Linked DNA regions of Struthio camelus. The protein of the gene in region 1 interacts with the protein of each later gene in a pairwise test. Links are inferred from orthologs where the notes say so. Each region holds a gene or a part of one and is shown on either strand. Other genes may lie near its edges.

The links.
Region 2: the proteins of RGS2 (region 1) and NIPSNAP1 interact in a two-hybrid assay, tested with the Homo sapiens proteins (2 studies listed by BioGRID and IntAct). The link is inferred for Struthio camelus from reciprocal best matches to the Homo sapiens genes RGS2 and NIPSNAP1.
Region 3: the proteins of RGS2 (region 1) and LRFN1 interact in a two-hybrid assay, tested with the Homo sapiens proteins (2 studies listed by BioGRID and IntAct). The link is inferred for Struthio camelus from reciprocal best matches to the Homo sapiens genes RGS2 and LRFN1.
Region 4: the proteins of RGS2 (region 1) and GIT1 interact in a two-hybrid assay, tested with the Homo sapiens proteins (2 studies listed by BioGRID and IntAct). The link is inferred for Struthio camelus from reciprocal best matches to the Homo sapiens genes RGS2 and GIT1.

The regions. Positions count from the first base shown.
Region 1 is NC_090949.1:10,318,302-10,325,496, reverse strand, and holds the start of RGS2 (regulator of G-protein signaling 2), read right to left. Parts: upstream 3,015-7,195; 5' UTR 2,925-3,014; coding exon 2,815-2,924; intron 2,658-2,814; coding exon 2,556-2,657; intron 2,465-2,555; coding exon 2,403-2,464; intron 1,509-2,402; coding exon 1,342-1,508; intron 932-1,341; coding exon 737-931; 3' UTR 1-736. UniProt on the Homo sapiens protein: Regulates G protein-coupled receptor signaling cascades. Inhibits signal transduction by increasing the GTPase activity of G protein alpha subunits, thereby driving them into their inactive GDP-bound form.
Region 2 is NC_090958.1:5,138,582-5,146,360, reverse strand, and holds the start of NIPSNAP1 (protein NipSnap homolog 1), read right to left. Parts: upstream 3,008-7,779; 5' UTR 2,965-3,007; coding exon 2,891-2,964; intron 1,684-2,890; coding exon 1,535-1,683; intron 1,352-1,534; coding exon 1,306-1,351; intron 1,019-1,305; coding exon 924-1,018; intron 674-923; coding exon 603-673; intron 517-602; coding exon 376-516; intron 293-375; coding exon 261-292; intron 56-260; coding exon 1-55.
Region 3 is NC_090957.1:1,630,274-1,637,425, reverse strand, and holds the start of LRFN1 (leucine-rich repeat and fibronectin type III domain-containing protein 1), read right to left. Parts: upstream 3,008-7,152; 5' UTR 2,957-3,007; intron 1-2,956. UniProt on the Homo sapiens protein: Promotes neurite outgrowth in hippocampal neurons. Involved in the regulation and maintenance of excitatory synapses. Induces the clustering of excitatory postsynaptic proteins, including DLG4, DLGAP1, GRIA1 and GRIN1.
Region 4 is NC_090957.1:16,988,736-16,995,762, forward strand, and holds the start of GIT1 (ARF GTPase-activating protein GIT1), read right to left. Parts: upstream 3,008-7,027; 5' UTR 2,941-3,007; coding exon 2,889-2,940; intron 194-2,888; coding exon 60-193; intron 1-59. UniProt on the Homo sapiens protein: GTPase-activating protein for ADP ribosylation factor family members, including ARF1.

The DNA of each region.
Region 1 (7,195 bases):
ATTATGACATAATGCAGCATTCAGCACAACCACAATCTGCATATAATATGTATAGTTCCTGTTTGCTGTGGCCATGTTCTGCCCTCAGCCTGCTCTCCTGCAGCCCCACTGACATCATGCAGCCCTGTATACTTAAGTTACACAACCTGCTCCTCTGGGAAGTGAATTATATCCCCCCCCTCCTCACTTCATACTGCTGGTGACAGTGCTATAGTGTTGAGCAGTTGCAGCGAAGCCTGATACATCTGTCTGCAGCTAGAAGTCTTTAGTTTACACAACTGGTGTTAAGACACTAAGTGAATGATGACAGCAGCACTGTTGATGTTTAGGAAAAATAAGTACGTAACCAATTACTCAAGCTCCCAGCACTGCTCAGCTGTACAGAGCTGCTTGTGTTTACAAAAAGGAAGCTCTGCTCTAACCTACTGTATCAACACCTCCACTGTGACATGAGGAATGTCACGTCACTCGGCTTCATCGAAAATGTGGAATCACCTTTTCACACCAGTGTTCACAGAAAAAGGTGTGTCCCTAGCAGCTGGCTGCCAACTCTCCCTGCACGCCCTCCAGCATCATCCCCTGCTATCGGCTTTGCAACACAGTTGATATTTGTCCATGCATCCTGGCAGATGGACTGTGCACTTGGTATCTCAGCCCTTCTGGTCAGGATGCAGCTGGGGATCTGTGGCTTTCTTCTTCAGTAGCTGCAAGACTTCTCCTTGCTCCTTGCTGTAGCTCATGTTGCCTGGGCCACTCTGGTGATGGGAGTCTTTTTGCACAGTTCCTGATAGAATTCAGATTCTAAAAACCGTGGATATGAGTTATTCTCCATTAAGCTATAAACTCTCTTCTGTGCGGCACTGAAGCAGGTATGTGTAGCTTCTTGAATATTCTGAGCAATCAGGTTCTTGGTTTGAAAATCTATGTTTATCTGAAATACAAAGAAGGACACTTACTTCAGAGAACTACATTTTGTAACAGGTGAGAAAAGTTAAAGACCCTATTGCTACAGCCTTCAATTGATGAAACTTCCTTAAGGAAAGCAGTTCAGATGATATGATGTTTCCATGTTTAACTCTCAGATATGTTACAGGTATTAAATGATGCTCTGATTTTTTTCCTAGCTGAAATAAGATGGGTGCTCTCTGAAACACGGTTTGTGCAGTTTTCCAACCTAGTGAAAATGCAGTTAGGGAAGTGAGTTCTGATCTGATGCAGATACTAACAAGGAGCTATGTATGATGAATTTTTGGCATTTAACTTGAAATGAGTGCAGAGAAATAAAGCAGGGCTTTACAAAGCCACAGAATAGGGCAATTGTGTTTATATAGTTCCTTTTACCTCTTTGGGAGCTTCCTTTTCAATGAAGTCATTGTAAATCTTTTTTGCTTTCACTGTCAGCTTCTGGGGTGACTTGATTTTCTTGAAGTCCTCGCATGCCAGCCAGAACTCAATGTTCTCTTCACAAAACTCTGACTTCAGAAAAGCTCGGAAAGCAGCAAGACCATCTAGGGAAAGGCGGGGGGGAAGCAAAAATACATCAATTACGTATTTCAGGAATCTTGAATTTACCCATTTGTCATGTCTTCTCCTACCAAACATATTGCTGTAGTTCTGGTGTATTTCTTTCACGGATGCCATGGCAATAAAAGTCCACATTTATGTATGCAAACAAATTAACGCTCTAATGGCTTGGCAAGCTTCACTTAAGTTAGCTGTTTTTAGGTAAACACAAATGAAAGCCATCTCTAGCCTCTGTTCCCTTTTGTGATGTATGCATGTATACTTTAAAATTTTCTCTTGATAGGATTTAATGTGTTAACCTTTAGACTGGAGTAAATATTTATGACACTGCTACAAACCTCTGGAATATTTTTGTGGCAGAAAGGATGACTCAAGGTCAAAGAGCAAATGCTGATGTTAGTTCTTAGTCCTTTTTGCCCTGCTGCTAAGCGCTTTCCTTGCAGGGCAATGGTAAAACCCAGAGATTATCGACTGAACTTCTGTTGACACCAGTGTTGCAAAACAATTTCCAAATTGTTGTAGTGCATTTGTCTAGGATATGCAGAGAGCACAGTGAACAAATGCACTTTGGCATTTGGCAAAGCCAACTAGAGGTATGGTTTCATTGCAGAGGTTATAGCTAAAACAAGAATAAATTCCTCTACTACAAAGTGTTCTCGATGTTTCAATATTGGCTTACAAATAACTTGAAAATAACATTTCTATAAATTCGGATTTGAAATGGTTTAAAGTGTTTATTTCCAAGATCAGAATCGAAGCTGTGTGCATTAGCAAAAGTGAGGTATATGGCTGACACACAAGGAAGAAACCTCCTAGAAATGCATAGAAGCTTCACCCCCCTTTTGTTCCTAAAAGTTACTTTTTAAAGACAAACTTACATTTGTTAGCAAGAAGTTCATCAAAAGCTTCTGACCACAGCTGGGCTTCTTCAGGGGAAGGTCTGCATAAAGCAATGGAGAATACATTAGACTACAGCTCTTTTTTGTTTGCAAGATATTTGAGTCACTTCAAGTCTGCTTCTCAGAAGTTACCTGAAGTAGGTGTGGTGCTTTCCTGCTTTCTTGGATTTCATTTTAGTAGAACTGGAGGAGTTTTGCAGGAAGTAGCTCAGTCTCGTTTTCCAGTCTCTAATGCTGGAAGAATGAAAAAGGGGTGTTTAAAGTGACTGCTCGGAAAGGCCGAGAGGTGGTGACTTCTTCCCCCCCCGGCAGCGGCAGCACCGCTCGCTCCGCGCCCCTCCGCGGCCGCGCTGGCTCGCGGGCAGCAGCCCAGGCGCGAACCCCGACTCACATCGTCCTCTTCACCCGGCCCTTCTCCTCCGCCTCCTCGCCGCGGCGGCGGCCGCTCCGCTCCATCTGCGCGCCGCGGTGCTGCAGCGCCAGGAACAGCGCGCTCTGCATCGCGCTCCGCTCGTCTCCGCGCTCCGCTCGGCCCGGCCCGGCCACGCTGCGGCCCCGCCGCCGCTGCGCGCTGCCTTATAGCCGGGCGGGGGGGCGGCTCCGCCTGCGCCTCCGCCCCCGCGGAGCGGGCCCGGCCCCTCCTGCCGGGCGCGGAGCTCCCAGAGGGCACGCTCGCTGTTGGTAAGCGAAGACGGGCAGGGGCTGTGCTCCAGCCCAGAAACCCTCGGAAACCTTTTTTCCCTCCTCCCCTTCTTTTTCTTGTTCTCCTCCTCCTGCCCTCGCTCCTGGTTGCTAGTGTCTCGGGAGGTTTTTGCTGCTCGCAAGGGAGCCCGTCCCGCAGGTGCTGGCGGAGCAGCAGCTCTTCGTTCTGCTCTGTGAGTCAGAGATGCGGTTCGGCAGGTGTGTTTTTAAGGAAAGACACGCTTTTGAGTGTGGCCAGTACACAGGCGCCTTCAAGGATAAGGAAGGACTCTGTAGCCACCTTTCTTCAAAGAAGTGAAATAATTGTAAATCTGAGTATTTGGTGTTTGTAGTGTCCGCCTCTGAGCTGACTCGGGCTATTCATCACTTTAATAAGCTGTCCGTGCTTTTTTTATTCCTGTGTAGTGTTGCCACCTACCAACGACTTGTGTAAATTACTCTCCGTGCATGAAGCTGAAATTGCAATGACTTCAGCCTTTGGCTTGCTGCAGAGGCCATGTGGTCCTTCTCAGCGGTGTCTGTCTGAAGGGCATCATGCCCAAAGACTTTTCGATTTGTGAATCATATGAGTTTCTCTTTAACCTGCCCTACTTTTCTCCTCTTTTCTGTGAGTGTGTCTTCCTTTCCACACTGCTCTACACCACATTTTTCTGCCATGAAAAGCAGAGAGACTATTTGACTCCCACCATGCTGACTGGTTTCCTTGCAGTCATGTAGCTCTGAATGCCTGCTCCTTCTCGGTGATTGCTGCAGTCTGATAACCTCAGTGGCTGCAGCGTACGGCTGTGCGAAGGCATTTTGCTGTAGATGAGATATATGGAGCAAATGAATGTCATGTAATTTGTAAAAATGTCTGAATAAGGTTGCTTTTCAGTGCTGCCTGTTGGATGTCCTTTGCAGGATATGTTGAGGGGGGTCTGGTAGGAAAATAAAATCCCATCCTCTGAACTTTACAGAATTGCTTTGAATGCTTTTTGCAGCAGGTAGCTCTTAGCTGTATATATAATTACACATTTTTGATGGGAGATTGTTATGAAGATGTTACCATGGGGGAGAGGGCCTGTGGAGACACCAGGGGAGGTAAGGCGGTGTGAAAACATCAGTGTCAGAAGCTCCATTGGTGGGAGTTTGCCCAAGAGCAGGGCAGCAGTGATGGTGCCTGTGTGATGGATAGAGCTGTGCTGACTTGCTTCCAAGCATCTCCATCCTTGCTCGCAGCAAGCTCCATGGTCGGCCGAGCTGTGCAGCTGCAAATGATATGGGCAGGAGCTTGCCAGGAGCTGCTGAACAGCCTGTAACTTGCTGGAGGCTGGGAATGCTGTCCGCACATGTGAACTTCATGGCACGCGGCCTCCCCACTGGGGTGGGTAGGCTGCTCTGGCATAAACTGGAGCTCACTGGAAACACAGCCCAGGGCCTTACCCAGAGCAGAGCAGATTTTTCTCACCCAGCTGCTGCAAGGCCATGACGCTCAGCATATCATACTCTTCTGCCTGATTGGGAGTGATTTCCCCCCACACACACTTTTGATGCTGGTTTCAAGTTTCTTTCACCTTGATTCACCCAGAGTCCCTTATCTTTGAATATCTGCCCTGGAATTAGTAGCATAGTATGAACTGTAACTTGTGTAGCTTCTCGGTGAACTTGGGGGATTTCTGTCTGTAGGTCTGCTACAGAAGCTCATCAAACTCTGAAGCAGGGTCTTGAAATAACTTGGACCTGCTTGGGAGGGGCGGGGAGTCTGCAGGGAAGCTCAAAGAGATAAAAGTGTTTTGGAGTGGTGTAATTATAGGATTGGCAGGTGTATATGATCCTCCATAGATGCTTGTGGGGAAAGGTGCAGAGTAGTGGGAAAACAGGACAGTAACTGAGAGGGGATGGAAACAGCCAGTGGCTCTGAGAGACCTGAGGAAAAATATGCCCAAGAGCAGTGGAAATGAGAACTCCAAAGTCCAAGCTACAGTAAGGTTTGGTTAAGCAGTCAGAATTTGGGGGCTTATCCGTATCAAACACGAGAACCTGCTGAAGTTTGAAGCTTGACAAAATGCTTTCTTGATACTTCGGGAGGAGACTTGTAAGGTAAAGCTGAAATATTCCCATGCGTCTGCCAAGTTGTAAAGTTGGCAGTAGTTGGTGTATGGAAAATTGCAGTGGGAAACGTGTTTGTCTGATCCTTTTTATTGTAAACTTTTTAATTGCCTCTTTCAGATACCCATAAAAAAAGTGCCTGTTAAGGAGGGACCTTATAAAATTTGTAATCTCTTTGAACAGTGGAAAAAAATAAATAGTATTCCAGGTTTTAAAAAAAAAAAACACAAGCTGAATATAGAACTGAGATTAGATGGCCTTATAAAATGTACTTACTGGCGCATTCTAGCTTAAGAACTATTGAAATTAAAATCAAATCTTATTGCCTGTATGATGCGTGTATTTTTAACTTACAGCTTGATTGTACTCATAAAGGCTGAGTTTTATTGTTTTGTCTGCAGAAGAACTTTTCAAAATATTTTCCTGCTTCATCGCGCTGTGCAGCGTGATTTCTTTCTCTGATGCTAACCTTTGCTAGAAGGTAGATTACTTATTTGTATGATGAAAGATATTTTCCATTTGTGTAATAACAAAAATCTGATATCAAATGATGTCACTGATGTGCTGCAAAACAGGCTGCAGGGTGTGCTGAGGCTTTGCTGGTGAGGGGGCTTGCTGAGCGGGCAGTTTTAGATGCATCAAACCTAAATATTACCGTGTTCTACCAGTTTCTAGTTTTTTCAAGGCAGGGATGGCAAACTGGCTCAGGACCTCAGCCTGCCTTTCTGAACGTGGTTCAGGTTTCCCCCAATTGCTGCTCTGTACTAGTTGAACCAAGCGAGGAAGTATTGGCCTCTCGATCCTCTTCTGTGCCCCTCTGCTAGCGTTATCCCGAACGTTTTGGGAGAATGAGAAAAGCCCTCGGTTGGGGTCGGAGCACAGGGTTCGGTGTGCTGGTACAGCACAATGCATGACGTGGCCTAAAAATAGGCAACTTCAGATGCCGCGTCAGGCTCCCTATTGGGATGCCGCTCTCCGGGAATGGGCATCTGGTATGTGATCCGTCTGCGCAGCTAACATCAGCATACCAACCAGTCGGGCCAAAATTGTCCCCATGTATGCTGACATCAGTCCTTTCCAAAAGATTAAGCTCTCAGTAGCTGAGGAAAAATCTGTAAATGAAACCTCACTGAAAAGGATAAGACCAAGGCAGTGTGGTGGTGGTGGGGTCTTACAGCCCAAGCTCTGCGATTGAAGTCAGTGAGAATTTAGCCATTGCCTGCGATGAAATCTGGGCTCAAACTTGCAATGACACAAGCTTTCACCCTGGGGATCGCGCTCCTCTTTGTAGAGGCTTTCTTGAGAATGTTCTGTTCTTTCTGTGCTTATAGGATTTCTATTAACCTCAGCAGTAGCGAGATGTACAGAGGGCTGTAACGTATGCAGTGAACATCCAGGAGGGGAAATGAGGCTTTTTCCGTCTTGGTTACGTTATGTGTTGCAATAGCTGTGTTGATCTTATCCGAGTCCCTAGTGAGTAGTACTCACTGCACACTATTTAAATCTGTATCTACATTTTTCTAAAATGCTCATCCTTGTTTATCCTTCTTATAGAGGAGACTTGGATGATGGGGAAGACTTATGAAAAATCATCTGAAGACTTTAGCAAGCTTTCCTAAAGCGAAGAGGGAGGAATGTGCTTTTATGGAGTAGTTCAAACCATGCATTAGTTGTTTGAGAAATGTCTTCTGTTTATTGAACCCCTGTTATCTATGGCTAGCAGGCAAATAATATTCAAAAAGGAATAAGATGTTGAGATGTATCTCTTTGGTCTGTAATACATTTTGCAGATTACACAGGGGCGTTTTCATGTATTTTCACGCTATTCTTTTTTAATTTACAGCTCTGCAGTCCTGGTGCTGTGTCTGAAATGGCTCATTGAAGCATCAGAATAGGAGACCAGCCAAGAGCACTGATGTGCTGCTTCCCACAGCTGGCGCCGACTGAGCCTCTGCTCTTAGCTCTGCTTTAGGCTGTGTCGT
Region 2 (7,779 bases), on another chromosome or scaffold:
GAAAAAGCCACCCACGGCCTCCTGGTTCTCCTGCCGGTACTTAATGGCCCGAGCCCTGGCCGGGGTGGGGGGAAAGAACTGCTGTGGGGTGCCAGAAGCCTTCCTCTTCCTCCTCCTCCTCCTCCTCTGTCCACAGCCCCAGGGACTGTGCAGGGAACGAGGGAGTGGAGGACGGCCCCCAAGGACGGGACCAGCTGGGAAACTGAGGCAGTGCCTGGGGCAGGGGGGAAACTGAGGCAGAGACCAGGCTGTCTCCTTACCAGTTATTGCCCCACTCGATCATGGTCCCCGGCTGGAAAGGGAGAAGCAAACCAGCAACGTTTGAGCGGGTGGCTCCCTGCACCCCTGCCCCCGGCACCGCGTGGGGCCACTCGCCTTGAGTTTGTAGGTCCTCAGCTCGTAGACGTGGGGCCCAGGCCGGGGCAGGGGCTCGTTCCAGAAGCTGAACTCGAGCAGCAGCTGGTTGCGACGGGCCAGCAGCAGCTTGCTACGCTCGCGCCGGAAGGCCTCGTACTCCTGCGGGGAGCCCGGATGGCCATGGGGATGCCCAGGGACACGCCAGTGTCCCCCCCACCCCGGCACGGTGCCGCCCTGAGTGCTACCTGGTTCTGCTTCAGCTTGTTCATGCACTCGGTGAGTGCCGGGTACCCGCCGGAGAAGCGCCAGAGGTGCACTGCAAGGACAAGGCACCTATGGGGTGCCACCGAGCCCAGGGACCCGCCAGCACTCGCTCCCGGGCGGCCGGGTGATACCAGGACAGAGCCGTGCATAGCTCCCAGCAGCACCCTCTCAAAGCTCTGTTTTGCCACTTTCCCCCCCAAAATTGTACCCTCCCTTGCCCACACGGCCCTTCCCTGAGGGCGGGAGGCCGCCGAGGCCCCAGTGCTGCTGTGCCCCCGCTGCAGGGATGCTGCCGCACTGACCTGCCTGGTCCTGCTCGCCATACCACGTGTTCCAGCTGCCCACCAGCGTGCAGGGGTAGTCGGCGTCCGCGTGCAGCTTGGGCAGCGCCTCCTCCCTGCGGGGACATGGGGGATTGCAGGGGACCCTTGTGCCCCAGGGGACGCCCAGGAGATGGCAGGCGGCAGCCAGGGGCTGCATCCCAACGCAACCTGGCCTCACCCCTGCGGGAAGCTCCCTGCACCCATTTCACAGGAAGGAAAACTGAGGCCCAGAATAAGAAACCTGCCGGGGGCTCCTGAAGCAGCTCGGTGTGAGCTCCCCCAGCCCTGCACCAGCCTCAGTAGCCCCCTGGGTGCTCCCTGCAGGGACGCTGGGTGACCCTGACCCGCACGGGAGGCTCACGTCAGGCTGTTGTAGGTGTCCAGACACTCGGGCTTCACGTTGTGAACTGTGGGAGAGAGGGCGAGAGGGTGAGAGCAGGAGCTGAGGCCCGGGGAGGAGCTGCCCCAAGTGGAGAGCAGCCACTGAGCTGGGGACAGAAATGGGGCAAACGGCCAAATAACGGGGTGCGGAGGTGCCGCGGAGCTGTGCCGAGGTGCCCCTGGCCCTGCCTGCCCCCGGCGCCTCTCACACTGGATCTTGTAGAGGTTGCTGGTCTCCTTCTTGGCCAGGAGGTTGGAGTGAGCATCCTTGCGGGGATCCACCTTGTGCACGAAGAGTGAGCGCAGCCAGCTGCCCTCGGTCGTCCCCGCGTAGCCCCTGCGAGACGCCGGTGTCACCCTGGGGGGCGACATCGGTTACGATAAGAACGAGGAGGGAGTTTTGCTTGCAGTTCTGCCTTCCTGAGTCTGCAGGCAGCCAGCAGCATCCGCTCACAGACAGCACTGGCTGGCTCACAGGGCTTTGTGGGAGGCTGGTTTCATTCGTTTTGTGTTGCAAAGAGGGAAACTGAGGCGCGAAAATGCCTTGTCCAGAGCCTTGCAGGAGAGCTGCGCTCGGAACCAGGGAGCAGCTCCCCCAGCGCTGGATTTTGGGTTTTTTTGGCCTGTCTGAGGCTGCTGGTGGCATGTTGCCGTCGGAGCCAGGACGCGCGTGTGCCACTAGCACACGTGTCACTGGGGCCCTGTGAAGGAGGAGGCTCCCTGGCACCCGCTTTCGTCCCGCTCCGGCATGGGCAGCCCACCAGGCACTCAGGGCACGGGCAACCCACGGGGAAGAGCCTCCCCAGGGCGAGGGACACTCGTGGCAGCGTGGCTGGGTGTCACACGAGGGCAGAGGCTCCTGGGTATCACGCGAGGGCGTAGGCCCCTGCGCCACACCGGGGGCACCGGCGGTGGCACCCGCCGGGCTGCCTGCAGGCTCGGGGAGGCAGCGCTGGGGGGGGCCACGGTGGGGCGGTGGCACGCAGGGGAGGCTTGCCCTGCGCCAGCCTCCTCGGGGATGCCGTGTCATCGGCCGGACCTTGGCCCGCTGCACGGCAGCTGGTAACACATTAACCACGGGGTGGGGGGGGGGGGCAGGGTAAACAACCCCCCTCTGCAGCACGGGGTGCTGCCAGGCCGGCCGTGGCTGCGTGTGTCCTGGCGCAGGGACACAGGGACATGTCCTGGGGCGGGGAGCCAGCGTGGGGCAGCCCCGTGTGAGGGGGGCCTGGGGACGGAGGGGATGGGGACGTGAGGCGGGGGTGGCAGGGGTGGAGGGCAGGGATGGGGGGACAAGGGGACCGGGGGGATGGCGGGCCAGAGGGATGGGGGATGGAGGGACAAGGGGACGGGGGGACAGAGGGATGGGGGAAAGGGGGACCAAGGGGACAGAGGGACAAGGGGAGGAGGGCACAAGGGATGGGGGACTGAGGGAAGGGGGAAGAAGGGGACAGAGACCAGGGCTGAGGGGGCAAGGCTGGACCCCGGTGCCCGGGACTGAGGGCAGAGGCGGGTCCCCGGGGTCGGGGCGGGTCCCGGTGCCGGGTCCCGGCGCCGCCTCTCACCGCGCTGCGCCGCCGCCGCCGCCCGCCCGCAGCCACCGCGCCGCGCTCCTGGCCACCCGCACCGCCGCCATCATCCCGCGCAACGGGGCCACGCGCGGCGGCCACCCACCCCTCCCTCGGCACAGGGGCGTGGCTACGCGCCGGCCACACACCCTCTCCAGCGGCGACTCTGATTGGCTGTCGTACTGGGCCGGGCTTTGCCACGCCCACCCCAATGCTGTCGTGGCTACGCCCCAGGGCCGGCCCTATTGGCTGCCGGGGGCGGGGGGGTCCCAGAGCGCGGCCAGGGGCACGAGCTGGGCAGAGGCCGTTCACCTCGGTCACATGGCAACACCCAATCAGAGGAGCTAGGCGAAGATGGCGGCGCCTCATTGGCTGCGACGCCCTGCTCTGCTGCAGCCTGATCAACCAGGGCACCTCGTGGGGGCGACGTTGCTCATTGGTCCCTGCCTCGGGGGGGCGGACCCCCTCACAGACCACACCCGGGGGGCAACCAGACGGGGATGGGATGCACCAGCCTGGGGGTGGGGACCCCAGCGACCCAGGCGTCCGGGGCGCTGCTCCCTCAGGGATCGAGGTGTCTGGGGCCCTGCTCACCTCAGGGACCCAGCCTGGAATGAGCCTGTACGAGCCCGTAGAGCCTGGCACAGGCCTGTATGAGCCCATAGAGCGTGGAATGGGCCCCTGCAAGCCCTTAGGGCCTGACACAGACCCTCATGAGCCCGTAGAGGTCAGTCACAGGCCTGTACGAGCCTGTAGACTCTGCCATGACGCCGTACAGGTCTACAAGAGACTGGCACGAGCCTGTAGGAGCCTGTAGAGGCCAGCACGGGCCCATACGAGCTTGTAGAGACTGGCACCAACCCTTAGAGGGCCATAGAGCCTGACATGGGCCCATACAAGCCCCTAGAGGCCAGTTAAATGACCGTGTGAGCCTGTACAGTCCAGCACGGACCAGTACAAGCTCATAGAGGCCGCTATGGACCCCTATGAGCCTATAGAAGTTGGCATGGGTACATATGAGCCTGTAGAGGCCAGCATGGGGCCATACAAGCCCGTAGAGGACAGCACAGGTGCGAATCGGATGGTAGAGGCCTGTATGCGCCTGTACGAGCCTAGCCCCTAGAGGCCAGGCCAGGCCAGGCCCAAACATGGCTGAGGAGCCTGGCACAGGCATGTAGAAGCCCATAGAGGCTGACACGTGCCTGTATGAGCGCGCAGAGGCAGGGATGGGTGCGTACGAGCCTTTGGAGCCTGGCAAGCCTGTAGAGCGAGCCTGTACGAGTGTGTTGAGGCCAGCAGCACGGGCCAGTATGAGCCCATAGAAGGTGACGGGGCCCATACGAGCCCATAGAGGCTGGCATTTATGCGTATAACCCTGTAGCAGCTGCCATGGGCCTGTGCAAGCCCGTAGAGACCGACACGGGCCCAAACATGTCCGCAAAGGCCAGAACGGGCCTGTACAAACTCATACAGGCTGGCACAAACCTGTACAAGCCCCTAGAGCTTGGAATAGAACCCTGTGTGGGCCCGTACGAGCCCATAGAGCTCAAGGTGGGCCTGCACGAGCCCATAGCACCCACTGCGGGCCCATAGGAGCTTGGCACAGACCCATATAAGCCCACAGAGATCGATTTGAGCCCGTACGAGCCCATAGATGCTGGCATAGGCCCATACAAGCTCGTAGAGGCTGGCACAAACCCATACAAGCCCGTAGAGCTCAAGATGGGCCTGAACAAGCCCATAGATGCCAGCACAGGCCCATGCAAGCCCATAGAGGCCAGCATGAGCCCGTAGAGCCTGACATGGGCCCATAGGAGCTTGGGAAAGGTCAATTCCAGCCCACAGAGCTTGGTATGGGCCCATACGAGCCCGGAGAGCTGCACCCAGGCCCGTAGGAGCCCGCAGAGGCCGGCACAGGCTCGTATAGTTGTAGACTATAGGCTGTAGAGTCTGGCGCAGGCCCGAACAAGCTTGGCACAGGCCCGTACAAGCCCGCAGAGGCCAGCATGGGTCTGAACAAGCTTGGCACAGGCCTGCACAAGCTTGTAGAGGCTGGTGCAGACCTATACAAGCCCGTAGAGACCAGTCACAGGCTGGTACGAGCCTGTAGAGCCTGGCACAGGCCCATGCAAGCCTGTAGAGGAAGGCATGGACATGTATGATCCTACAGAGGCTGGAATGGGTTTCAACGAGTCTGTAGAGGCTAACACGGGGACCGTAGAAGCCTGTAGAGGCTGCTTGTACAAGCCCGTAGAGTCTGGCAGGGGCCCACACAAGCATGTTGAGGCCAGCACGGGCCAGTGCAAGCCCATAGAAGGTGGCACGGGCCCATATGAGCCTGTAGACGCTGGCATTCATGTGTGCAAGCTCATAGAGACCCACACGGGCCCACTCGCACCTGTAGAGGCCAGCACAGGGCTGTATAAGCTAGTAGAAGCTGTCATGGGCCTGTACAAGCCTGTAGAGCCTGGCAGGGGCCTGTACAAGTGCATTGAGGCCAGCACGGGCCAGTGCAAGCCTGTAGAAGGCATCAAGGGCCTATATGAGCCCGCAGAGGCCAGCACGGGCCCATACAAGCCCTTAGGCCCTGACATGGGCCCGTACGAGCTTGGCAAAGGCCTGTACCAGAGTATTAGAGCTCGGTGCGGGCCCGTATGAGCCTGTAGAGGGCGGCGTGGGGCCGAATGAGCTTGGCACAGGATCGTACAAGTGTGTAGAGTTTGGTGTGGGCCTGTACGAATCCGTAGAACCCTGTGCAGGCCTACATGAGGCCACAGAGGCTGGCAAAGGCCCAAACAAGCCTGTAGAGGCCTATGCAGGCTTGGACAATGTTGGCACAGGCCCGTACAGGCCCGTAGAGGCCTTTGTGAGCCTGTAGAGCCTGACACAGGCCTGTACAAGCTGGTAGAGGCTAGTACGGGTCCATACAAGCCAGTAGACCTACGTGCAGGACCGTACCAGCCTGTACATGACAGCACGGGCCCATACAAGCCCGTAGAGGCCAGTACGGGACCATACGAGCCCGTAGGGCTTGACACGGGCACGTAGCAGCTCAGGAACGGTCTGTATGAGCCCATAGATCTTGGTGCAGGACCATATGAGCCTGTAGAGCCCCATGCAGGCCTGTATGAGCCCATAGAGCTCAAGATGGACCCATAAAAGCCCATAGATGCTGGCATGGGCCCATACAAGCTCATAGAGGCCAGCACGAACCCGTACAAGCCGGTAGAAGTCGTGATGGGCCCGTACAAGCACATAAATGGCAGCAAGGGCTGGTATGAGCCCATAGAGCCTGACGTGGGCCCGTAGGAGCTTGGGAAAGGTCTGTTTAGGTTCTTGCTGGCCTCTATGGGCTCGTAAGGGCCCAAACAGAGTTCTAGGAGCTTGTACGAGCCCTTGCCAACCTTTTATGGGCCTGTGCCAGCCTCTGTGGGTTTGTCGAGGCTCCTGTTGGCCTCTATGGCATCGTAGGGGCCCACACCAAGCTCTAGGGGCTTGTATGAGCACTTGCCAACCCCATACAGGCCCGTGTCGGCCTCTGGGGGCTTTTCTGACCTCCTGCCAGCCTCCACAGGCTCGTACGGGTCCAAACAGAGCTCTAGGGGCTTCTACGAGCCCTTGCTGAACTTGTACAGACCTGTGTCAGACTCTGAAGGCTTGTGTGGGCCCGTGCCGGTCTCTAGGGGCTCATACGGGCCGCGTCAAGGTCTATGGGTTTGCAGAAGCCCTTTCCGAGCTTTTACAGGCCCGTCCCAGCCTCTACGGGCTCGTATGGGCCCATACCGCATTCTACGGGCCGGTACGAGCCCTTGCCGAGCTTGTCCGGGCCCGTGCCGGCCTCTACAGGCTCGTTCGGGTCTGCACTGAGCTCTACATTCTTTTATGAGCCTTTATTGCCCTTGTTTGGGCCCGTGGCGGCCTCTGCTGGCTTGTCCAGGCCCCTGGCGGCCTTTACGGGCTTCTCCAAGCCCCTGCTGGCCTCTATGGGCTCCTCCGGGTCCACACTGAGCTCTATGGGCTTGTACAAGCCCGCACCGAGGTCATACGGGCCCCTGCCAGCCTCTGCAAGCTTGTACGGGCCAGCATCGAGCTCTATGGGCTTGTACAAGCCCACACCAAGGTTGTACGGACTCCTGCTGGACTCTGCGGTCTTGTTTAGGTCCTTGCCGGCCTCTGGGGGCTCGTACGGGTCCAAACAGAGCTCTAGGGGCTTGTACGAGCCCTTGCCAACACTGTATGAGGCCGTGCTGGCCTCTGTGGGTTTGTCCGGGCTCCTGTTGGCCTCTAGGGGCTCGTATGGGCCTGCATCAAGGTCTATGGGTTTGCAGAAGCCCTTTCTGAGCTTTTACAGGCCCGTCCCGGCCTCTACGGGCTCGTATGGGCCCATACCGCATTCTACGGGCTTGTACAAGCCCTTGCCGAGCTTGTCCGGGCCCGTGCCGGCCTCTACAGGCTTGTTCAGGTCTGCACTGAGCTCTATGGGCTTATATGAGCCCACACTGAGGTCGTACAGGTCCATGCCGGCCTCTGCGGGCTTGTGTGGGCTCCTGCTGGCCTCTACGGGCCTGCACTGAGCTCTACATTCTTGTAAGGGCCCTTATTGACCTTGTGTGGGCCCGTGCTGGCCTCTGCGGGTTTGCCCGGGCTCCTGTTGGCCTCTGTGGGCTCGTTCGGGCCCACACCAAGCTCTACAGGCTTGTATGAGCACTTGCCAATCTCATATGGACCTGTGCTGGCCTCTGGGGGCTTTTCTGACCTCCTGCCAGCCTCCACAGGCTCGTACGGGTCCAAACAGAGCTCTAGGGGCTTCTACGAGCCCTTGCTGAACTTGTACAGACCCGTGTCAGACTCTGAAGGCTTGTGTGGGCCCGTGCCAGCCTCTAGGG
Region 3 (7,152 bases), on another chromosome or scaffold:
GTACAACTCAATGGAGCCCAGTACAGCCCAGTATAACCCAATACAGACCAGTACAGCCTAGTCCAGCCCAGTATAGCCCAGTGCAGCCCAGTACAATCCAGCATAGCCCAATATGGCCCAGTACAGCCCAGTACAGTTCAGCACAGCCCAGGATGGCCCAGTACAACCCAGTATAGCCCAGTGCGAACCAGTATGAAACAGTCCAGCCCAATACAACCCAGCACAGCCCAGTACAGCCCAGTACAGCCCAGTACGGCCCAGTACGGCCCAGTAGAGCCCATCCCTGTGTCCCCCACAGTGCACACACACACGCACACGCGTGTGCACACCCCAACAGTGAACACACACATGCACATGCACATGCGTGTGCACAGCCCCCACAGTGCACACACCCATGCACACCCGTGTGCACACACCCCATAGTGCACACACACATGCACACACGTGTGCACACCCCAATAGTGAACACACCCATGCACACGCGTGTGCACACCCCATAGTGCACACACCCATGCACACACCCCAACAGTGAACACACACATGCACACGCGTGTGCACACACCCCCATAGTGCACACACCCATGCACACACCCCAACAGTGAACACACACATGCACACCCGTGTGCACACAACCCATAGTGCACACACCCATGCACACGCGTGTGCACACCCCAATAGTGAACACACACATGCACACGCGTGTGCACACACCCCATAGTGCACACACACATGCACACCCGTGTGCACACCCCAACAGTGAACACACACATGCACATGCACACGCGTGTGCACAGCCTCCACAGTGAACACACACATGCACACCCGTGTGCACACCCCAATAGTGAACACACCCATGCACACGCGTGTGCACACACCCCATAGTGCACAAACACATGCACATGTGTGTGCACACCCCAATAGTGAACACACACACACCCATGCACACGCGTGTGCACAGCCCCCATAGTGCACACACACATGCACACCCGTGTGCACACAACCCATAGTGCACACACCCATGCACACGCGTGTGCACACCCCAATAGTGAACACACACATGCACACGCGTGTGCACACACCCCATAGTGCACACACACATGCACGCACGTGTGCACACCCCAATAGTGAACACACACATGCACACGCGTGTGCACACCCCAATAGTGAACACACACACACAAACATGCACACGCGTGTGTACAGCCCCAACAGTGAACACACCCATGGACACGCGTGTGCACACACCCCATAGTGCACACACACATGCACATGCGTGTGAACACCCCAACAGTGAACACACACATGCACATGCACACGCGTGTGCACAGCCTCCACAGTGCACACACACATGCACACCCGTGTGCACACCCCAATAGTGAACACACACACGCACATGCACACGTGTTTGCACACCCCAATAGTGCACACCCATGCACACGCGTGTGCACGCCCCAACAGTGAACACACACATGCACATGCACACGCGTGTGCACAGCCTCCACAGTGAACACACACATGCACACCCGTGTGCACACAACCCATAGTGCACACACCCATGCACACGCGTGTGCACACCCCAATAGTGAACACACCCATGCACACGCGTGTGCACACACCCCATAGTGCACACACACATGCACATGTGTGTGCACACCCCAATAGTGAACACACACACGCACATGCACACGTGTTTGCACACCCCAATAGTGCACACCCATGCACACGCGTGTGCACGCCCCCACAGTGAACATACGCACGCGTGCACACGCGTGCGCATGCCCCCCACAATGCACACACGCGTGCACACACGTGCAGATACCCCTCCACCCGCCCAACACGCGTGCCCCCCCACGGCGCAGGCAACCCTGCGAAACACGTGCACACCCCCCCCCCCGCACACGCGTGTGCAGCCGTGCAACGCGCCCGCCCCGGCGCTCCCTGCCTTCCCCAGCAGCCCCGGGGACCCGTAACCGCCCCCCCCCCGGTGCACACGCGACCCCGCACACACGTGTGCATACCCCCCCCCAGCCCGGACACGCACACGCGTGCATACCCCCGGCCACGCACACGCCACCGTCCCGCAGAGCCGGCCGACACGCGTGTGCGAGGTGGCGGGGGGGGGCGTGCGAGGCCCCCGCACGAGGCACCGAATGGGGGGGGCAATGGGGGGGGGCTCACCAGGCCGAGGGACACCGGGACCCTGCGGACACCCGTTCCCCCCCCCCGTCCCTGCAGCCCCCCCCAGTAACCAACCCCCCCCCAATATCAGGACCCCCCAATATCAGACCCCCCCCAGTAACCGGTCCCCCCCCATATCAGCCCCCCCCAGTAGCCGGTCCCCCCCCCAATATCAGACACCCCCCCAGTAACCGGTCCCCCCCCATATCAGCCCCCCCCAGTAGCCGGTCCCCCCCCCCAATATCAGACACCCCCCCGGGTAACCGGTCCCCCCCCAGTAGCTGGTCCCCCCCCCAATATCAGACACCCCCCCCCAGTAACCGGTGCCCCCCCAATATCAGCCCCCCCCGGTAACTGACCCCCCCCAATATCAGCCCCCCCCCCAGTAGCCGGTCCCCCCCCCAATATCAGACACCCCCCCGGGTAACCGGTCCCCCCCCAATATCAGACCCCCCCCAGTAGCTGGTCCCCCCCCAGTATCAGCCCCCCCCAGTAACCGACCCCCCCCAATATCAGACACCCCCCCCAGTAGCCGGTCCCCCCCCCAATATCAGACACCCCCCCCCAGTAACCGGTCCCCCCCCAATATCAGACCCCCCCAGTAGCTGGTCCCCCCCCCAGTATCAGACCCCCCCCCCGGGTAACCGGTCCCCCCCCAGTATCAGCCCCCCCCAGTAGCCGGTCCCCCCCCAGTATCAGCCCCCCCCCAGTAGCCGGTCCCCCCCCCAAATCAGACCCCCCCCGGGTAACCGGTCCCCCCCCCCGCCGGTGCCGGTACCTGGGGGGGGGCTCAGCCCCCGGCCTCTCCCATGGCGGCCGCGCAGGCCGGTGCCGGGGTGGGGGGGGGCGCGTTGGGGGGGGGGGCGCCGGGTCCGGTCAGGCCTCACCCCGTCGGGGGGCCATGGGCGGGAGGATGCTGGGGGGGGGGCCGCGATGGGGGGGGGGCTGGGATGGAGGGGACCGGGGTGATGCGGCGGGGGGGGGGGACCAGGATGCTGGGGGGGGCAGCGGGATGGGGGGACCGGGATGATGCTGGGGGGGGCCGGGATAATGGGGGGGGGCCCGGGATGATGCTGGGGGGGGCCGGGATAATGGGGGGGGGACCGGGATGATGCTGGGGGGGGCCGGGATAATGGGGGGGGGGACCGGGATGATGCGGAAGGAGCCCGAGATGGGAGGCACCGGGTTGATGCTGCGGGGGGGGGGGCGGGATAATGGGGGGGAGCCCGGGATGATGCTGGGGGGGGGGACCGGGATGCTGGGGGGGGGCCCGGGATGATGCTGCAGGGGGGGGGACCGGGATGATGCTGCGGGGGGGGGGACCGGGGTAATAGCGGGGGGACCGGGATGATGCTGGGGGGGGGGCCGGGGATGATCGGGGGGGGGGCCGGGATGATGGGGGGGGCCTGGGATGATGGGGGGGGGGCCCGGGATGATGCTGGGGGGGGTGACCGGGATGATGGGGGGGTGACCGGGATAATGGGGGGGGCGGCCCGGGATGATGCTGGGCGGGGGGGGGGGACCGGGATAATTGGGGGGGGGGCCCGGGATGATGCTGGGCGGGGGGGGGGGCCCGGGATGATGCGGGGGGCAGCGGGAGGCCGGGCAAAGGCCGGGCCCGGCGGCAGCGGGCGGCGGGGGGGGGGGGTTACCGGCGGGGGGGGGTTACCGGTGGAGGGGGGGGAGGTTACCGGCGGGGGGGCGCAGGCCGCGGCTGGCCGCTCCGGAGCCCGCAGAGCCGCCGGGGCGGGGCGGGGCGGGGCGGGGGGGGGCGGGGGGGGGGCGGCACCGGGCGGCAGCGGGCGGCAGCGGGCGGCAGCGGCGGGCGGGGCCCGGGCGCCCCGGGGCCGCCGGAGACGCCGGAGACGCCGGCTGCCTCCCCCGCGGCGTGTCCCACCCTCCGTCCCCGCGGCCCTCGGTCCCCGCAGCCCTGCGTCCGGCCGTCCCCGCAGCCATCCCCGCGGCCGTCCGTCCGTCCGTCCGTCCGTCCATCCCTCCGTCCGTCCGTCCGTCCATCCATCCATCCCTGCATCCCGGCATCCATCCCTCCATCCCTGCATCCCTCCATCCCTCCATCTGTCCGTCCATCCGTCCCTGCATCCCTCCATCCATCCCTCCATCCATCCATCCATCCCTGCATCCCTCCATCCATCCATCCGTCCGTCCGTCCATCCCTGCATCCCTCCATCCATCCCTGCATCCCTGCATCCCTGCATCCATCCCTCCATCCCTGCATCCCTCCGTCCATCCCTGCATCCGTCCCTGCATCCATCCCTGCATCCGTCCCTCCATCCATCCCTCCGTCCATCCCCGCGTCCGTCCGTCCGTCCGTCCCTGCGTCCATCCATCCCTCCATCCATCCCTCCATCCATCCCTCCATCCATCCCTGCATCCCTGCATCCGTCCCTCCATCCATCCCTCCATCCCTCCGTCCATCCCTGCATCCCTGCATCCATCCCTGCATCCGTCCCTGCATCCCTCCGTCCGTCCCTCCATCCATCCCTCCGTCCGTCCCTCCGTCCGTCCGTCCATCCCCACATCCCCCCATCCATCCCTCCATCCCTCCATCCCTCCGTCCATCCCTGCATCCGTCCCTGCAGCCATCCCTGCATCCGTCCCTCCATCCATCCCTCCGTCCGTCCCTGCGTCCATCCCTCCGTCCATCCCCGCGTCCGTCCGTCCGTCCGTCCCTGCGTCCATCCATCCCTCCATCCGTCCATCCGTCCCCACATCCCCCCATCCATCCATCCATCCCTGCATCCGTCCCTGCATCCCTCCGTCCGTCCCTCCATCCATCCCTCCGTCCGTCCCTCCGTCCATCCATCCATCCATCCATCCCTGCATCCCTGCATCCGTCCCTCCATCCATCCCTCCATCCCTCCGTCCATCCCTCCATCCCTGCATCCCTCCATCCCTCCATCTGTCCGTCCATCCGTCCCTGCATCCCTCCATCCATCCCTCCATCCATCCATCCATCCCTGCATCCCTCCATCCATCCATCCGTCCGTCCGTCCATCCCTGCATCCCTCCATCCATCCCTGCATCCCTGCATCCCTGCATCCATCCCTCCATCCCTGCATCCCTCCGTCCATCCCTGCATCCGTCCCTGCATCCATCCCTGCATCCGTCCCTCCATCCATCCCTCCGTCCATCCCCGCGTCCGTCCGTCCGTCCGTCCCTGCGTCCATCCATCCCTCCATCCATCCCTCCATCCATCCCTCCATCCATCCCTGCATCCCTGCATCCGTCCCTCCATCCATCCCTCCATCCCTCCGTCCATCCCTGCATCCCTGCATCCATCCCTGCATCCGTCCCTGCATCCCTCCGTCCGTCCCTCCATCCATCCCTCCGTCCGTCCCTCCGTCCGTCCGTCCATCCCCACATCCCCCCATCCATCCCTCCATCCCTCCATCCCTCCGTCCATCCCTGCATCCGTCCCTGCAGCCATCCCTGCATCCGTCCCTCCATCCATCCCTCCGTCCGTCCCTGCGTCCATCCCTCCGTCCATCCCCGCGTCCGTCCGTCCGTCCGTCCCTGCGTCCATCCATCCCTCCATCCGTCCATCCGTCCCCACATCCCCCCATCCATCCATCCATCCCTGCATCCGTCCCTGCATCCCTCCGTCCGTCCCTCCATCCATCCCTCCGTCCGTCCCTCCGTCCATCCATCCATCCATCCATCCCTGCATCCCTGCATCCGTCCCTCCATCCATCCCTCCATCCCTCCGTCCATCCCTCCATCCCTGCATCCATCCCTGCATCCGTCCCTGCATCCCTCCGTCCGTCCCTCCGTCCGTCCCTCCGTCCCCACATCCCCCATCCATCCCTCCATCCCTCCGTCCATCCCTGCATCCATCCCTCCATCCATCCCTCCATCCGTCCCTCCGTCCATCCCTGCATCCGTCCCTCCATCCATCCCTCCGTCCATCCCTGCGTCCATCCCTCCGTCCATCCCCGCGTCCGTCCGTCCGTCCGTCCCTGCGTCCATCCATCCCTCCATCCGTCCATCCGTCCCCACATCCCCCCATCCATCCATCCATCCCTGCATCCCTCCATCCCTCCATCCATCCATCCCTCCGTCCATCCCTGCGTCCATCCCTCCGTCCATCCCTCCATCCACCCCTCCGTCCGTCCCTGCATCCCTCCATCCCTCCATCTGTCCGTCCATCCGTCCCTGCATCCCTCCATCCATCCCTCCATCCATCCATCCATCCCTGCATCCCTCCATCCATCCATCTGTCCGTCCGTCCATCCCTGCATCCCTCCATCCATCCATCTGTCCCCGCAGCCCTCCATCCATCCCTCCATCCCTCCATCCATCCCTCTGTCCGTCCCTCCATCCATCCCTCCATCCGTCCATCCATCCCTGCAGCCCTGCATCCATCCCTCCATCCCTCCATCCATCCCTCTGTCCGTCCCTCCATCCATCCCTCCATCCGTCCATCCATCCCTGCAGCCCTGCATCCATCCCTCCATCCCTGCATCCATCCCTGCATCCTTCCTTCCATCTGTCCCTGCATCCCTCCATCCGTCCATCCCCACATCCCAGCATCCATCCCTCCATCTGTCCCTCCGTCCCTCCATCCCTCCATCTCCACATCCCTCCATCTGTCCCTCCATCCCTCCATCCCTGCATCCATCCCTCCATCTCCACATCCCTCCATCTGTCCCTCCATCCCTCCATCCCTCCATCTCCACATCCCTCCATCTGTCCCTCCATCCCTCCATCCCTGCATCCATCCCTGCATCCTTCCTTCCGTCTGTCCCCGCATCCCTCCATCCCTCCATCCTTCCTTCCACCCCTCCCACCATCCCCACATCCCTCCATCCATCCCTGCATCCATCCCACCATCCCCACATCCCTCCATCCCTCCCTCCTACCATCCCATCATCCCTCCATCCATCTCTCCATCCCTCCCACCATCCCTCCCTCCAGCCCTGTGTCCACATCCATCCCTCCATCCCTCCATCCATC
Region 4 (7,027 bases), on another chromosome or scaffold:
GCGGCGGCGGCGGCGGGGTGGGGGGGGGCCCGCGGCCGGCGGGGGCCCGCGGCACCCACCTGCAGCAGCGTGGCGGGCCAGGGGCTGTGGCGCAGGTGCTTGACGATGGAGATGTGGCGGCCCAGGCTGCGGTGCACGCTGCAGCACTCGTCGCAGATGAGCACGCCGCGGTTGATGGAGGCCCAGCCGGGGTCTGCGGGGGGCGCGCGGGGCGTCACAGGGCGCCCTCCCCGCCCCGGCCACCGGCCCCCCGCTGCCCCACTGCCGGCAGAGCCGGGGGGGGGGGGGGATGCAGGGGACCCGTTGCCATGGAAACCCGAAGGTTTCCCTAGCTACCGCTGCGGGCTCAGCCCATCGCTAGGGAAAACCTGAAGGTTTCCCTTAGCAACATGGCAAAATGGGTTGGGGGGGGGCAGGATTGGGCCGAGCAGGGGCTTTGGCGGGGGGGGAGGGAGTCGCACCCACCAGGGCTGCCCCGAGCTGCAGCTCCGGCGTGCGCAGCTCCGGCAGGCCCCGGGCGGCCGGCGAGCGGCCCGGCGCGGGGGGCAGGCGGGGAGGGGGGGGCAGGTGCTGCGGCCCCCTGCCCGCCGCCGGGCCCCTTCCCCGGCCGGGCCGCCCTTCCCCCCCGGCCGGCCGGACTGGAGCCCTTTGTATCCGCGCGAGAACAAAGGGCCGTTTGAGCGGCCGGGCGCTCCGGCTCCGAGCTGGCACCGGCGGACGGGGGGGGGGCCCTGCCCGCCTCGGCCCTTCGGCGCCCGCTCGGGGCCCGGCGGCGGGCGCACGTGCAGCTCCCGACGCCCGGGCGCTGGCCGACGCGAAGGGGCCCTCGGCGCGCCCGGGCCGCCCCGCAGCAGCCAGGACGCGGCCGGCGCAAGGTCACCGCGTCCCCGGCGGGCGGGAGCCTCCGGAGCAGCCCCCGCGGCGGCCGAGGCCGCGAGTTCGGGAGCATCCCCCCCTCCCGCCCGGCAGCAGCCCCCGCAGGGTGCCCAGGCCCAGCTCGGCGCTGCCCCTCTGGCCCCCCGGGGCCGCTCTCGCGGCCGCAGCGGGACGAGGACCCGTTCCCCTTACCCCCGCGGAGGAAGCCTGGCGGGCGGCGATGGAGCCAGCCCGCCCCGCGCTTCCTTCCTGCCCCGGCAAAAGGGCGGCCGGGGTCGCCGGCACGCCGGGCCCCTTCCCTCCGCCCGCGGCGGGTGCTGCCGCAGAGCTGCCCCCGCCGCCACGGGGCGCCGGGGGTCCCCGGGGCCGGGGCGCCGTGCCGCGGTGCACAGCCCTCGCCGGCGGCCTGGCGGCTCCGCGGGCGCAGATGGCGGAGCCTTGGCAGCCGGCGCGGCCGCATCTGTGCCCGCGCGCGCTGCCCGCGGGGCGCTGCGGGAACGGCCCGCCGCGCCGGCGGGCAGAGCCAGGGAGGGTCCCCGCCGCCCCCCCCGCCCGGAGCCCCTGCGTTCGGCTTGGCCGGCCGGCGGGCTGCACCAGCGGGGCCCGGAGAGGCGCCCGGCGCCGGCGGGGACCACGCCGGCACGGCGCCCCGCGCGATGCCGAGGGCGGCATCCGGGGACGCGCGGGCGGCGAAGCGGCGGCGTGCCGGGCGGGCAGCCCGCGGCGCTCTCCCCCCGCGCCGGGCGGTGGGACGCAGCCCCGCTGGACTTTATAACTCATTTCCTCCCCTGGCTGCCGGGTGATAAGAGAGTGGAAGAAACCGGTTCCCATTTCGCTGCGCCGGGAGGAATCCTTGACGCACGGCAGGCCTGGCGGCGATGCCCCCGTCCCCCGGACTCGCCTGCCAGCGCAGGGAAGCGCCCCGACCCGCGGGGCTGCTCGGCTCCCACGCGCGCCCGGCGGCTCTCCTGGCAGGATCCGGCCCTTGGCACGCGGCCGGAATAATTCCAGCACACCCTTCGCCCGGAGGCAGCTTTCCGGGCCCGGCTCCGAGCGGAGCGAGCCTCGACGCTCGGCCCTTTTCATTCATTAGCTCCGCGCCGCGGAAACGCGCCTGGGCCGGCGGCGGGCACGGCGGCGGGCGGCAGCTCGGGGGGCTGCCCCGGCCCCCTCCCCGCTGGCTGCGCGGCGTGCCGAGCACCGGGCTGGCATCCGGCGCGGGGGCTGCCGGGCACCGGCGCAGCCGGGGACGCGAATCGTCTTGCCCAGGCTCAGGCTTCGGCTTGCAGCGCGGCCGGCGCGGGCCTGGCGCAGCCCTGCGCGGCGTCGCCCAACCTGGCCCCGGCCGGCTGGGGGTGCCAGGCAGGAGCGGGGGGTCGGGCAGGAGCGGGGGGCCCCTCGGCAAGCCGGGGGGAGAGGGAGGGGTCCCCCCACGCTGCCACTTGCAGGGTCCCCGGTGCTGCTGGTGCAGGCCAGGTGCGTCCCCAGCCTGCAGCAGCAGCCCCCGCGCCCGGGGGGTGCAGAGGACTGGGGGGGGTCGTGCACTGGGGGGGCTTTGGGGTGCACTGGGGTCGCAGCAGGGCCTTCCGGGGGCGGGGGGTTTGCTGGTTAGGGCTCACTGGGGGTACATTAGGGGTATACCGGGAGATTCCTGGGGTGCAACACGGGTGCACCAAGGGGCTCCGCAGGGGCACGCTGAGAGCACACCAGAGGGGATGCGGGGGCACACCGGGGGGCTCACCGGGGGGGAGGACGGGGTGCCCCGCGGCATGCAGGGGGGGGGCAGCGGGGAGAAAAAAGGCTGCCCCGCGGCATGCAAAGGGGGGGGGGCAGCCGAGGGCGCAGCGCGGGGTGCACCACGGGGGTGCGGGGGGGGGGACACGGGGCGCCCCGCGGCGTGCCAAGGCGGCTCACTGGGGCGGCAGCGCGGCTGCACCGCGGGCTCACGGCGGCGGCGAGCCGGGGCCGCAGCGGGCCGGGGCCGGCGGCGGCGGCGGCGGCGCGGCCCTTACCTGGGGCGCTGCAGTCGGCGCACACCTCCGCCCGCTGCGCCTTCCGGGACATCCTGAGCGGCGAGGCGGGCCCGGGCCCGGGCCTCTGCGCCAGCGTGCGGCGGCGGCGGCGGCGCCGGGCCCGCCGGGGGCGCCGGGCCGGGCCGGGCCGGGGCGCGGCGGCGGCGGGGCGCGGCGAGGGGCCCGGGGCCGGGGCCGCGGCGCGCCGGGGCTGCCGGCTGCTCCCAGCGCCCGGCGGCTCCGCAGGAAGCGGCGCAAGCCCGGCCCCGCCGGGGGAGGGGCAGCGCCGCCCCCGCCCCGCCGCCCCCGCCGCCGCCGCCGCCGCCGGCACCGGCACCGCGGCACCGGCCCGGCCCGGCCCGCGCGCCCCCGCCGCCGCCGGCCGCGGGCCTCTGCGCCGCCGGGCTCGGGCCTGGGCGCCCCCCGACCCCGCGGCTGGGCACCGCTGCCCCGCTCCTGCGCACCGCGCCCCCGCTTTTGGCACCGTCCCGGACCTGCTCCTGCTGCTGCTGCTGCTCCTGCTCCTGGTCCCAGTTCTGTGCATCCCCCTGCCCTGCTCCCGCTCCTGCTCCTGGTCCCGGTTCTGTGCATCCCCCTGCCCTGCTCCTGCTCCTGCTCCTGGTCCCGGTTCTGTGCATCCCCCTGCCCTGCTCCTGCTCCTGCTCCTGGTCCCGGTTCTGTGCATCCCCCTGCCCTGCTCCCGCTCCTGCTCCTGGTCCCGGTTCTGTGCATCCCCCTGCCCTGCTCCCGCTCCTGCTCCTGGTCCCGGTTCTGTGCATCCCCCTGCCCTGCTCCTGCTCCTGCTCCTGGTCCCGGTTCTGTGCATCCCCCTGCCCTGCTCCCGCTCCTGCTCCTGGTCCCGGTTCTGTGCATCCCCCTGCCCTGCTCCTGCTCCTGCTCCTGGTCCCGGTTCTGTGCATCCCCCTGCCCTGCTCCCGCTCCTGCTCCTGGTCCCGGTTCTGTGCATCCCCCTGCCCTGCTCCCGCTCCTGCTCCTGGTCCCGGTTCTGTGCATCCCCCTGCCCTGCTCCCGCTCCTGCTCCTGGTCCCGGTTCTGTGCATCCCCCTGCCCTGCTCCCGCTCCTGCACCTGGTCCTGGTTCTGTGCAACCCCCTGCCCTGCTCCTGGTCCCAGTTCTGTGCATCCCCCTGCCCTGCTCCTGGTTCTGGTTCTGGTCCTGTGCATCCGCCTGCCCTGCTCCCGCTCCTGGTCCTGGTCCCGGTTCTGTGCATCCCCCTGCCCTGCTCCCACTCCTGCTCCTGGTCCCGGTTCTGTGCATCCCCCTGCCCTGCTCCTGGTCCCGGTTCTGTGCATCCCCCTGCCCTGCTCCCGCTCCTGCTCCTGGTCCCGGTTCTGTGCATCCCCCTGCCCTGCTCCTGGTCCCGGTTCTGTGCATCCCCCTGCCCTGCTCCCACTCCTGCTCCTGGTCCCGGTTCTGTGCATCCCCCTGCCCTGCTCCTGGTCCCGGTTCTGTGCATCCCCCTGCCCTGCTCCCGCTCCTGCTCCTGGTCCCGGTTCTGTGCATCCCCCTGCCCTGCTCCTGGTCCCGGTTCTGTGCATCCCCCTGCCCTGCTCCCGCTCCTGCTCCTGGTCCTGGTTCTGTGCATCCCCCTGCCCTGCTCCTGGTCCCAGTTCTGTGCATCCCCCTGCCCTGCTCCTGGTTCTGGTTCTGGTCCTGTGCATCCGCCTGCCCTGCTCCCGCTCCTGGTCCTGGTCCCGGTTCTGTGCATCCCCCTGCCCTGCTCCCGCTCCTGCTCCTGGTCCCGGTTCTGTGCATCCCCCTGCCCTGCTCCTGGTTCTGGTTCTGGTCCTGTGCATCCGCCTGCCCTGCTCCTACTCCTGGTCCCAGTTCTGTGCATCCCCCTGTCCTGCTCCTGGGCACCATCACAGACCTGCTCCTGATCCTGCTCCCAGCCCTGGTTCTGGTCCTGCAGGCCCTCCTGCTCTTGGTCCCAGGCCTGGCCTTGTTCCTGTGCACCCCAGCCCCAGGCCTGACATCCTCCCATTCCTGGGCACTGTCCTGGACCCGCTCCTGGTCCCGGTCTGAGCCCCAGTTCAATGAACACCCCTGCTCCTGGCCTTGGTTGTGGTCCTGTGTACCCCAGGTCTTGGGCATCATCCTGGTCCTGGCCCTGGTTGCAGTGCTAGGCACACCCCTGGTCCTGCTTCTGGTCCTCAGCACCCCCTTCCTCAATACTGGGCACCCTCCTGCTCCTGGTCCTTGTCCTGGCCCTGGGCACCCAGCCCTGGGCACCCCTCTTCTCTGGGTCCTGGTGTCAGCCCTGGTCCTGTGCACCCCCCTGCTCCTGGCCCCAGTCCTGTGCACCCCAGCCCTGGTCCTGTCCCCCACCCCAGGCCCGGCCATAGCCCCTGCCCTGTGCACCCTCCCCAGGGCCCAGCACCAGCAGTCCCCCGTGCCTGGGCTGGTTGGGGGCCGAGGGGAGCCAGGACACCGGGAAGGGTCGGCAGCGCTCTGGCCCCTGTCCGCGGCGTGGCTAACGGCCTCGGTTCCCCATCCGGAGGTGGGGGTGGCCCCCACCCATGGAGACCTCTGAGATGGATGAACCTCTCCAGGGCGGTGCAGGGCCATATGGGGCCAGGCTCCCTGCACCACAGGGCTGCGCACGAATGATTTGGGTGGGGGGGATGGATAGAGCAGAGTCTGTTTGGGGTCCAGTCCCTGCTCTGGGATCCTTTAATCTCGCAGAGTTGGGGGACACTCCCGAAACCCCAACAGGCCTCTGTGAGCAGCCGGAGGGGCCCCGAGCTGCCGTGTCCTGAACATCTCCTGCTGCACCAGGGCTGGAGCAGCTTCCTCGCCCCGCGCCCAAGTGGGGCTGGTGGCTCGGCCCCAGCTTGGCCGAATCCTGCCGTCCAGCACCACCGCGGGGCAGGCTCCGTGGCCCGGCCGGCGCGGGTGACCTCACTGCTGGTTGCCGTGGAGATGGCTTATGACGTCATAGGGCACGGAAGCCGCGGGGAGCACAGGGCGGATGGGGATGCTGCACGGGGATGCCGGCCACCCCGGCCCCGGGGAGCAGGCAGCGGGGCTGGCGCAGCGGAGGAGCTGGCTGTGCTGCTGCGGCTGTGCTGTTCCGGCCACAGCAACGGAGAATAATAACAATTTGCATTTATTCCTTGGGGCTGTTCCTATGGCGGGGGGGGGGGCGGGGGGCAGCTCAGCAGGAGCGGGGGCAAGGTGGCGGCGGGCCGGGTGGGCCAGGAGCCCCGTGCCGGGGGCTGGGGAGCTGGGCACCTGGCAGCAGACCCTTCTGGGCCCTTCCTGCATCCGTGGGGCACGCCGTGGGGCAGGCATCCCTGCCCGGAGGACGGGAACGCCGTGGGGCGGGTGTCCCTGCCTGGAGAATGGGAACGCCGTGGGGCAGGCATCCACGCCCAGAGGCCAGGAATGCCGTGGAGCGGGTGTCTCTGCCCGGAGGATGGCAATACCGCGGGGCAGGTGTCCCTGCCCGGAGGACAGGAAGGCCGTGGGGCACGCGCCCCTGCAGCAGAGGGGAACGGCGCCGGGGCCGGGAGCGGGGCGCTGGCAGGGAAGGCCGGAGCGCCGCGCCGCGCCGTGCCGGGAAGGCCCAGCCTCGCATTGTTCTCCGGCAGCAGCCGGAAAACACGACTCCCGCCCTGGAGAAACGCAGGCGGAAAAGGAAACGCAGGGGCAGGGGCCGCGGGCCTGGCCTTTCGCCGAGCCGGGGGGCCACGGCGCGGGGGGCCATTTGGCACCCACCGGCACAACCGCCTGTCCCATGGCCCTTGCCGCCCCCCCATCATGTGCCAAGAGCCGCTGGCTCACTGGGGGGGGGGGGGGGGCAGGAAAGGGAGGGAGGAATCAGCTGGGGGTGGGGGGGATCTGCTGGGGGGATCGGGGCCACCGCGGTGCCCCTTCGCGGCCACCTGTGCACGGCCCCATGGCACGCAGGGGCCGGGGGCAGCGGGGGTCCCCGGGGTCCCAGCGGGTCTGGGGCTGGGGGAGCCCCGGGGCGGGGAGCGATGCCGGTGGGAGGAGGAGGAGGAGGAGGAAGGTGACGCGGGCAGGGGGGACTACAAGTCCCATGAGGCCGGGCGGGTGCGGGGGGGTGCCCGGGCCGGGGGGGGGGGTCCGCCGCGCTGCGCTCCGCCCCGCTC